Cricetulus griseus: one gene and its partners. The protein of the gene in region 1 purifies or fractionates together with the protein of each later gene. This does not show direct contact. Links are inferred from orthologs where the notes say so. Each region holds a gene or a part of one and is shown on either strand. Other genes may lie near its edges.

The links. The genes of interacting proteins can lie anywhere in the genome.
Region 2: the proteins of Mms19 (region 1) and Brip1 purify together in Homo sapiens (affinity purification with western blotting; 3 studies listed by BioGRID and IntAct, with this or other methods). This does not show direct contact. The link is inferred for Cricetulus griseus from reciprocal best matches to the Homo sapiens genes MMS19 and BRIP1.
Region 3: the proteins of Mms19 (region 1) and Ciao3 purify together in Homo sapiens (affinity purification with mass spectrometry; 3 studies listed by BioGRID and IntAct, with this or other methods). This does not show direct contact. The link is inferred for Cricetulus griseus from reciprocal best matches to the Homo sapiens genes MMS19 and CIAO3.

What each region holds. Positions count from the first base shown.
Region 1 is NC_048596.1:19,594,168-19,597,816, reverse strand, and holds part of Mms19 (MMS19 nucleotide excision repair protein homolog), read right to left. Parts: intron 3,214-3,649; coding exon 3,136-3,213; intron 2,575-3,135; coding exon 2,436-2,574; intron 2,204-2,435; exon of another isoform or gene 2,181-2,203; coding exon 2,026-2,180; intron 1,799-2,025; coding exon 1,720-1,798; intron 1,520-1,719; coding exon 1,394-1,519; intron 1,221-1,393; coding exon 1,139-1,220; intron 709-1,138; coding exon 608-708; intron 516-607; coding exon 366-515; intron 1-365. UniProt on the Homo sapiens protein: Key component of the cytosolic iron-sulfur protein assembly (CIA) complex, a multiprotein complex that mediates the incorporation of iron-sulfur cluster into apoproteins specifically involved in DNA metabolism and genomic integrity.
Region 2 is NC_048600.1:99,407,115-99,410,763, forward strand, and holds part of Brip1 (Fanconi anemia group J protein), read right to left. Parts: intron 885-3,649; coding exon 663-884; intron 1-662. UniProt on the Homo sapiens protein: DNA-dependent ATPase and 5'-3' DNA helicase required for the maintenance of chromosomal stability. Acts late in the Fanconi anemia pathway, after FANCD2 ubiquitination.
Region 3 is NC_048600.1:45,400,814-45,404,446, reverse strand, and holds the end of Ciao3 (cytosolic iron-sulfur assembly component 3), read right to left. Parts: intron 3,279-3,633; coding exon 3,149-3,278; intron 2,680-3,148; coding exon 2,607-2,679; intron 2,321-2,606; coding exon 2,183-2,320; intron 1,737-2,182; coding exon 1,579-1,736; intron 1,427-1,578; coding exon 1,188-1,426; 3' UTR 571-1,187; downstream 1-570. Other genes in the region: Haghl (hydroxyacylglutathione hydrolase-like protein), read left to right, coding at 131-299.

The DNA of each region.
Region 1 (3,649 bases):
TCCCCAGGCCCAGGAGACAATACGGTAACTATTGATAACAACAGTTTCTTGAATACTACAAAGTACCTAATAGACATGATTCAGAACACACCCAAGACACAAAAAAGGAAGATATGTGAGCTGATAGATGCACTTTCTTTCTTTAGGTGTATTTGTATTAAACCATCATACTGTACAACCATAAATATGTATCTACTTATGGTGTTACTATATTAATATTACTATAATTACTAGGTACTGATTTTTAAAAAGCTTATCATGTTACTGCTGTACATGCACAACAACTACAATTAGAACTTTACAGTTCCTAGCCCAGGGATCCATCCATTCAGCCCGAACCCCTTGAAAACATCACTGGTAGTTACCCTTGTTTGCCTGACAGAGCCGCTGCAGCAGCAGAGGCAGTGTCTCCCTGACAATGCTGGGATGTGTTGAAATGGCTGACAAAGCTTGCAGACAGCAGAAATGCCGGGAACACTTCATGAGACCATCCTCTCTAGCAACATCCGACTTCCCTGAAAGCAATTGGTGAGTTAAGTTTTCACTGTGTGATGGTGTGAAGGCCCTCCTTGCTGGAAAGGATTGGGCAACAGATTGGCACATGTACCTTTATGCAGCTCTTTAGCAAGCTTGGGTAGCAGGTGGCTGCTGAAGGCTCCAGGATAGAGTGTAGTCAGAGTTCCCGATGCCTCCAGTGCTGCCACCCTACTGGGGACAAAGAGGAGTATTAGTTGAGCTTTGGCCCATCATTCTCTTCCCAAGACCTGACAGCAGTAAGATCAGAATGGGCTCTTGTGTCTACTTTGCTGAAGAGCAAGACCCAAGTCCTATAGCACTTAGTTTGATAGGTTGTCGTCATCATCATCATCATTTTTTTTCTAGACAGTGTTTCTCTGTGTAGCCCTGGATGTCCTGGAATGCACTATGCAGATCAGGCTGGCCTCAAACTCACAGAGATCCGCCTGCCTCTGTCTCCCAAGTGTTCGGATTAAAGGCCTGCACCACCACTGCCCAGCTGGGTACAAGAGAGAGTAGCCCACATCTTCCCAACCACTCAGTGTACACTCTGGCCTTTGCTACAGCTGCTGATACAAAGCTAGGGAAACATTTGCTCTTCTTCACTGCTTTAGATTCTCACCAACTCTCAGAATCTTCCTCCAGGAAGCTCAGTCGGTACAGGTGACCTACAGCCAGCTCCAAGTCCCCAGAAGATAGGAGATCTGTAGTTAGAAAGAACAAACTTCATCTTTCCTTCCTTGTAGCCACCACCCTTCCAAGAAATCCTATCAGAAATTCACACCATCCAGTACTGCAATGAAGAGGAAATCACTGCTCTTCACTTCAGACAGATAATACTTATCCTTATCCTTATCTTTTCTCATTCAAGACATACCTGGCTGAGAACCCAAAACTGTGAGTGTCCGGATGCCTACAAGCTGAAGCTGGGTGCTGGGGTCTGTCAGAGCCATGAACACCAATGAGCACAGCTGGTCCTTGAAGCGAGTCAGAGGCCTTTCATCTAGAAGAGACAGAGGCCAGGTCAGAAGGGCTTACAGCCCATCTCTGACTACAGTGCTGCAGACAACTTAGGGCAGATTTTAAGAACTCGCTCTGAACAGGTCCACTCTCCTAGACTACTCTGTGGCACACTGCTGCTGTACTCCTGGGCAATAGGACTCAACAATTGCCCAGGGTAACTCATCTTCAAAGTGATCTCACCTTTGTCTTCATAGCTCCATTTCTGCTGTAGCTTTAAGAAACCCAGGATCATTTCAAGGATTGTTCGCCGTTGGTTGCTCTGCAATATTTCAAGGAGTACTGGGGTCAAAGAATATTTTAACGGATTTCAGTTCTGATACTCTAAGAATTAACTTTTTATGTAAGACTGAGACTATGTATGTGAGAATGAACAAGTGGAAAAGCAGCTGCTAACAGGAGAAAACCCCAAATCTATCTGGGCCCAAACTAGAGCTTCAATCTCTCCAAGAAAAGGACCATAGCACCAAGTCCCACCTGATCCCTTACCTGACTGTGCTTGTGGAACTGTTCCAGCAGCAAGGGAAGCACAGTGCTGGTGATGTGCTCACAGGCCCGGGCAGATGCACCTGCAGCAGCCTGCAACAGCTTGGCACTAGGCCATACCAGTTTCATGTCTGGTTCACACAGATGGTGCCTGCAGTCTAGAGAGGCAGCAATCACAGACCTGGAGAGTAGGTCAAATATTGCCTGATTCCCTTTTATCCATAGGGATTGCTGACTGACACTTGGAATTATTTGCTAGCAGTTACCATCTAATTGTCTTCAATACAAAGTAGGCCTGCAGCCCCCAAATCACTGAACACATGGGAGCCACCCATAAAGGGCCACTGGCCCTAAAGGAATGCTAGCTCTAAGGTGCTCACTCCCTTTGCTGGCAGCCTCCATGGTCCCATTACCCTGTAGAATGTTGCTGAGGAAGGAGTCAAGGAGGTCCTCGGCATCAGCCCTCAGCACAGAGCAAGACAAACACGCAGTCAGGGAGTGGAGGGCTGCTAGGCCCTCTGCCTCTACTCGCTCACTTGCCGTCTGGAACACCTGTCAGGGAGGGATCCCATGGCTACTAAGGTGAGCTTGTACCAGATGAGGCCCCACCCATCCACTACCTTTTTTCTTGGGCTCAGAAGGATATGTGCTTGAGAAAGTTTGGGGCACAGCAATGATAGCTAAAACTCCCAACCTAGTATCTTTTTCGTTGGTTCAACAAGTTTTTGTCCCAATAGGAATGACACATACATCTTGTAGAAACAAGTTACCAACTCTGAACTGAGGTTATTGTAACCTTATTTTAAGTCCTTTTCGCTACCTTTACTTTTAGATGGTGCCAGAAACACAATGACCTAGGCTCCTTGCCACGAGAGGCAGGAAGTAGGTGTTGTGCAAAGGTGGTCTGTACTATCACCAAGCAGGCAGCCCTCACAAGGGAGCTGTCTCCCTTGCCATTCAAGTGGAAGTCTATCTATCCACTTGCCTGTTCACTGAAATAAAAGAAACATAGCACCTTGACCCTGGGGAGATAGGGAAGAGGGCAAAGAAGGAACATTACTTCTCATGTCTGACATCCGTCAGTTAACAGCAGTGAGTTAACCTAACACTCACCTCTCTGCGGATAGAAGCCCAAAGGCTGGGGAGGAAGTCCTTCAGTTCCTTCTGTCCATACACAGAACAGCAAGCATTCTGCCAAGAAAACCACAGGCATCAGCAAACTTACATTCAAGATGCTCTGGGATAAATGGTAGACTCTGAATGAGGTAGACTCTAGCAGAAAACCTTCCAGGTGTCCTAACAGTCAAGAACCCAGGGCACAGAAAACAGCTTACCCTGACTCTTAAGAAAGCACAAGGCTGATGTAGCCCAGTGGATCAGTGTTTACCTAAGATATATGAAGCTCTAGATTCAATTTCCAGCATACCCTCCCCTAAAACAAAGTCCGGAGTGGCAACAAAGGACTAATCTCAGTACTTGGGAGGTGGAGGTAAAAAGATCAGGAATTCAAGGCCAGCCCAGGCTAAGAGACCCTTTCTCAAAAATCCAAAAACAAAAAGTTGAGCACTGACCGGTTTTCAGCTATACAGCGTAAGCCAATATGAATGCAACATAGTGCTTAAATCAA
Region 2 (3,649 bases), on another chromosome or scaffold:
GTTCAATTCCCAGCAACCACATGGGGTGGCTCACAACCACCTTGAATGAGATCTGGTGCCCTCTGTTGGCGTGCAGGGCATATGCAGACAGAGACTGTATACTTAATAAATAAAATCTTAAAAAAAAAAAATTCACAAAGCCCAACTTTCATAGTACTTATCCTCTTAATATAACTTCTTCAAAAACAGTTATTTTTCCCCCAGAGAAATGTTTTTAAATAATTCTCAACTTCATAAATGGAGAGAACAACAGTTATATAATGGTCTTCAATGGGGACAATTTTGTTCCACGGGGGTAATTTGGACATTGGGCAATGTCTAGAGGTATCTCAGACAGTGACAACTGTAAGGATTCTAAACATCACAAAGCAGAGACATCCCATCACAGCCAAGATTCCTCCAGACTAATGTGAAGACTCAAGTCAAGCCTAAGGAACACACTACAGTTCCGTTTCAGTCCATTAGAGCCTTAACTGTTTATTACTTTGGAAATTAGAATAACTGGATTTAAAAGTCACTTCTTAATTCACCTTAGAACATGTTTTCAGTGCACTACATAAATTCAATACAGAGGGGGAAAGGCATAAAACATCTAAAAGCCTTTACATTCATCACTTTTATCCCATAAGTAGGGGAAAGTTCTAATTTTCACATATACTCACACTTTCCCGTATTTGTGCATCCAAGAGGTAGTTGTAGGGACAAAATATTATGTCAGCCTCATCTATCAGTTCCCGAGCTGTGTAGTAGGGACATGCCTTCAGTTTCCTCCCGAGGCTGACAAGCTCTTCTATGTCCCAGGCTTTGGACATTCCCGGAAAGGACTGCAATGTGTGCTGATTATTAATTCTATGGACACCATGATAAAAATAGCAGGATTTACCCTGAAAACAGACAAAACTGAAATGTGAGCCAATTCTGGAATAGAAGGAATAAAGTTAAGATTATCTCAGAACTGTAAAAAGATCGCTAAAGCCAAAAGCTAATACTTTATAGAGAAAACAAATACTTCTGTATTTATAATCACAACCTATCTTCCTGCCAAGACACAGGAATCTCACTATGTTGCCCATATTGACTTTGAACTCTTGGGCTCAAGTGATCCCCCGCTTCACCCTCCCAAGTAGCTGGAATTACAAGTTATATTCAAAACCATTATATTCAAAGAAATTGTAGTAGTTGACTCAGAATGAGAAAGAACTCCCAATACAAAATAAACAAGAAAAACATATTTATATTGTTTGATGTAGCTGTGCCATTAGCCATGAAGCATTTCTAGAAGGATGAACAAAGCAATGGCATTTCCTGCTGCTTTTAGATTAGAATTAGGTGACAGGCATAAGGGGAAATTTCTCTTGATTCTCTTGTCTTTTCAAATTTAAGCCATGTGACAATATTAGAAAGAAGGAAATAAGAAAGGGAGAGGAGGGGAAAATGGAAGGGGAGGAGAAAGAAATAAGGCAGGACTATCTTGAGGGAAAAAATAAAGAGGGATAACTACAAAAAAAAATCATAAAATATAAGAGTACCCCCAAAATTCCAAATTATATTAATCAAAACATATACTATTGACATCTTCATGTATCTCATGTTTTTCTTATATACATGTACAAAAAGTTACATCTATATAAAATGGCCCAATATTAAGATAAAAACAAACTGCTATCAAGAAAACTTCATTTCACTGTTGTTCATATCTGTATACTGAGTTAATGTGACAGGACTGAACTAGTTTCCCTCATACCAGGCATGTAGACTGTCCTCATGTCTGCAAGACAAGCACCTCAGCTGAGCCAACTACCCAGTCCCCATCTTTGCCTATGTGAAAAACAAAACCTTTTGATTTGTACTTTCTATAATTTCTGTCTATCAAGGTATAACATTTCTTTGAATGAACACCCTTGTGTGTGTGGTACTGGATACTGAGTCTGGGACCTCACTGAGTCACAATCTCTAGTCCTTGTATGAACATTCACCAGAAGGACCACAGTGATTTCTATTGCTTGCTTGCTTGCTTTATTCCTTCCTTTCTTTTTTTTTCCGGAGTCAGGGTTTCTCTGTATAGCTTTGTAAACCAGGCTGGCCTCGAACTCACAGAGATCTGCCTGCCTCTGTCTCCCAAGTGCTGGAGTTAAAGGCGTGCGCCACCACCACCTGGTAATTTCTATTTCTTCATGTTATCTATTAATGTCTTTGCTAGTATGTTGTTGGAAGTAAAATATATATTACAAGTATCAATAAAAAATTAAAATTTATAAAAAAAATAAAATTTTGTTAGCTCACTCCGAGTATGAATATGTCATATATCAATTTTCACTGTATGAAAATGGGGGCAAGAGAGACATCTCAGTGATAAAGAGTACTTATTGCTCTTGCAAAAGACCTGGGTTTGGTTCATAGCACACACATGGCAACTCACAACCACCTTAACTCCAGTACTGGGCATGTGATGCCCTCTTCTGGCCTTCACACATGTAGTGTGTGCATGAAGGCTCATCACATACATACACATTAAAAAAAAAATCTAAGTTGCCTAAAATTAGCTCAGCATGTGGCAGGTGCCAGTAATCCAACCAAGCACATGGGAAACTGAGGCTGGAGGATAAATTTAAGGTCTACTGAGCTCCATAGCAATATTCCCAATTAAAACAATAATTTAATTAAATAAGAGAATGAATAAATAAAACGCATGAAACTAATAGTCATATTACAAAAAAATTAACAAAAGTTTAAGCCTTGAGTAATAAAAATACTAGAAGCTTTGAATAATAATATACAATTTGCCAAAACATCAAAGTTCTGATTTTTATTATCAATGTACACTGATGACAAAAATTAGATACACGACAGTTTCATAGCAAAAAAAAAAAAAAAAAAAAAAAAAACCAAAACTATAACTAAACCCAATTTCTATGACCAATAGCAGACATGTTAAGTAATTTTTAAAAAGATACACCCTTTTAAGGGCAGGTTCAGTTGCATTTGCCTTTCATCCCAGCACTCAGGAGGCAGAGGCAGGCAGATCTCAGAGTTTGAGGCCAGTCTGATCTACAGAGCGAGTTCCAGGCCAGCCAAAGCTACATAATGAGACTTTGTTTAAAAAACAAATCAAATGATATACACTTTTAAGTGAGTGTGCTATTTGTTAGGTTCTCTAATGATGCTATGATGAGAAAAATAGTCACCAAATGTGTAAAAGTATGACTAAGTTTGTGTAAAATGTCCTTGCTTAAAGAATAAATATGCATATATACTCTAGCAAATAATATCTGTTTTTAAACTTTCTGGCAAAATACACACAGAAGTTTACAACAGTTTCCTTGAAGGGTTAGAGGACAGAAGGAGCTGGATGACCGGAATTATACTGGGCAAGCTTTGACTCGTATATGCATGTACCTGAGTTACTCCATGTGTTACTTTTATTTCTTTTCTTTCTGGGTAAGGGAAAGCAGGCTCTTCTTTTTTGTTGTTGTTGTTTTGTTTTTTGTTTTTTGGAGATAGGGTTTCTCTGTGGCTTTGGAGCCTATCCTGGAACTAGCTCTTGTAGACCAGGCTGGTCTCGAACTCACAGAGTCTGCCTGCCTCTGCCTCCCGAGTGCTGGGACTAAAGGCATGCGCCACCACCACCCAGCTAAGCAGGCTCTTCCTA
Region 3 (3,633 bases), on another chromosome or scaffold:
CTGAATGTCCCTGGCACCAGGGAAGGGCATTTGTTAAGGGCCCTCCTCCTTCCATCCACTGCCCTGCTGGGCCCCACCCTCATGGGCAGCTGGCCAGCCCCACAATTCCCCAGCATACTCTTCCCTGTAGAGAGGATCCAGTTCGTGAGTTCACAGGCCAAGTGGCACCTGCCCAGGTCCTGGAGGTACTCTGCAGGGAGCGAGCACGCTTCCAACTTGCTTTGGAGCCACTGCAGCCCCAGGTCCGGGCACTCCTGGCCTTGCAGTGGGGACTTCTGAGTACGCCCCAGGAAAAATGAGCCTGCTTGTCTTCACACCCCTTCTCCGGACAGCAACTGACTTCAGTTCAGTTCCAGCCTGAACTTCAGGCTGACTGGAACCCTGGCCCCCAGAACATCCCTCTGAGGCCTTCCACCCTGCTTTGTAGAACCAGCAAACGGTGCTGTCCTTGTCTCTACTGCTCATGGTACCACTCTTGTGGACCTTGAGACATATGTGTCCTGGGGACTGAGAAGGGGAATGAATAAAATTTTGAAAGGCTCAGTGTGGTGTCAGACATGCAGCAGATGCTTCCAGAAGTGCAGACCTGTTTATTAGTGGTGAGGCTGGGTGAGTGACAAGCTCAGTGAGACTCAGCTATGGACTTCTCACAGCCATACAGGCTTGGTGCTGACAGACTGCCCAAACGGCAAGGCCCCAGCAAGCAGCCAGTTTTTAAGAGGATCAGGTGCCCCACTAGACTCAGGCTTGATACCTGCCCTATACATTTTAGCTTCAGGAGTTAGCCACAGAAATGAAACTGTGCTCATAACCCAGAGGGCTGGGCAGGGAAGATGCCCATGGCCCTAGGCCAGTAGAAGAGATTCTGGAACCTCATTGAACCTTTGGCCCCCTTGGCTACCCGGACCCTGCTTGCACTTCTACCCTGCAGAGCTCAGTGTGGAATCTGGAGGTGCATGGGCCATGGCAACATTACCAACCAGAGGCACGCAGGTCATGTACTGCCAAGGACCCACATGCAGCTAGTGCCCCACTTTAGCACACAATCCAACACATCCTTGTAGCTCTCCTTGAATTTTGAAGGTCTCCAGTGTGTTCTCTGTGTGGAATCCGTTGCTGATACACACATGGTCTTCCTGGGAGTGTTGGTGCTGGCCCCTGGGGCTCTCACAGCCTCTCAAGGCCTCCTACCACCTGATGCTGATGCCCGAGTTGGTCTTCTCCACGGCATGGTATTGTGTGTGCAACAGGCGGCTGGCCTGCTCGGAGCCCTCACCTTGCAGCCAGTGCTGGTACAGCTCCTGGACCCCAGGTGCGTCTTCGGGTGCCTCATTCCTCACCATGCTGTACAGTTTTTCCACTTGCTGGAGGAGCTCCCTGCCTTGCATATCTGGGGCCTTGAGCTGGCCCCCTCCATTCAAGCAGCCTGTAGCAGAGCACAGGCATGGTGGTGGGAAGTCAGGGTTTAGCCCTCTAACCCTTGGGTGTGTGTGGGGAGGGGACCTGCCCCCCCCTCCTGTCCAACCCCTTCCTCCTTCCACTGGTGGCAGGCTGCTGTGCTAGACTAGGAGGAACTACCTGAAGGGCAGGCCATGACTTCCACATAATGGTAGGGACAGCGACCTCGCTTCAGCTTCTGCACAAGGTTCTGGATGTTGCGGAAACCATAGGCCACAGCAAAGCGCAACAGCACCTGGCCTTCCCTCTCCAGTGTCACTTCCTGGAAGTCCTTGTTCCTGAAAGCGTAGAAATAGGCTCGTGAAACTGCACATTGCATGCAAACCTGTCCCTGCCCAGGTGCAGACGCCTCCTGGGGTTTAGCACACCACCATCTGACTCTGTCCCTTTCCGATTGCAGGCAGGGCAGGGATGATGGAGAGGGGGACACAGTTTGCATCCATGGGCCCAGGTAACCTCACCCCAACCTTGACCTCCTTAGCTAACAGGATTGTTTTTCCCAAGGGCAGCCATGAAGCCCAGCAAAGTGTGACACCCCAGCCCCAGGTGCTATACCCATGCCAGGCACCTGCTAGTCCTTGTGTGTGTTGCCCTGGCTCAGGGTCCCTGCTGAAACTGAGGACAGTACACTGGCCTGTTTGCTCATGCCTCATGCTTGTAAGAGGGGACCCAAGAGTTCCAGGGGTCTTTCCCCCAAGTTCACTTCAGTGCTTGCCCCACTAACCTCATGGGTTGGTAGGTAACGTCGGCCACATGGATTCCAAAGAGCTCTTGGGCTGCGTGCCGGAACACATGCTCCAGGTAGCCTCCTGAGCCTCCACCCCGATGGCTGGTGGGCTCCTCAGCAGACACACTACAGGTTCTGGGAGAGGGGCGGGTCAGTGCAGGAGGCTGGGGCTCAATACAGCTCTTGTAGTCAGACCTTAAGAACTGTTCTTATGGTGGCCCTGGGAAGCTCAGATGGCTTCTAGAGCAGGCTCTGCTTTGACACTGTAACTCAGCCACTCTTGGGCCCCAGCCAGGCTGTGGGGAGGTCTGGAGTCAGCCAGAAGGCAGCCTGGGTAGAAAGGAGGGGACAAGACACTGCCCCACCCCACAGGCAGCATCTAATCCCAAATAAAGGTTCTCAGTCCCCACCACCAACTCACAAGCCATCCAGGGGCACAGGCTCCAGCTCCAAGAGTGACACTCCTTCTTCCTCCAGCATCCTAAAGACTTCTCCTACAGAGAACACATCACATGCTCTAGCTGGCCTCAGAATGCTGAGCTGTATGTGTTGTCCCCAGAGGGACACTCACTCCCATTTGTGGTGGGATGGTTGAGTCTAGCCAGCCTCTGCAGACCTACTGGAAGGTGTTCCTTCCTGGAGCATTGTAAAGGCAGGGCCACTCTGCCAGTCCAGGGGCAGGCTGTTTAGTCTTCTAAACAGTTTATTTTCCTGACTCTTCAGTAGGACAGGCTACTCTACTCAGAAGTGGGGTGAAGGTATGAACCACAGGGACTAGACTTGAGACCTTGTTTGCCCTCAAGACTCATTTTTAAACCAGCAAGAATATATTACAGGGGCTCCATTGGTCACAGGATCCTGGGAGGCACTGTGGGAAGGCCCGGCTATCTGCTGGACTCTAGTGCTTGGCTCTAGGGGAGCCCTAAAGACAGCAGAGGGTAGAGTTATGCATAGTGCCTGCACCTGTTGTAAGGACACAGTCCACGTCACGGGTCTGGTACTTCTGGTTGAAGAAGTCAGGTCTAGATGCTTCTAGCTTTTTGTCATAGCAGGGCATCACTGTCACATGGTAGATCTTGTCTGGAGTCAGATGCTACAGAGAGGGTATAGAAAGCGTCAGTTCCATCTAAGCCAAGCTCAGAAGTGGCCTCAACGAAAGGTGAGGCAGAGTGACTGCCAGGCATGACTCGAGCAGTTACTCACGCCCACTAGCCATCATATGACCACAGTCACACATTACCTCTCCTGCTTCTGTCCCTGACAGCCAGTGGCAACAGAGGAGATAAGCTCTCACTGCCTTTGAAAGAAAGAACACGTCGCAGTGGAAAAAGCACAGACTCGAGGGAAGTGTGGCCATGCACATGTAGAGGGAAGGCAAACGATTGATGCCAGTGCTCGTGGTTTCAGGTACAATAGAAGCCAGCTCCCTTCCTCATCCTCTAGCAGTG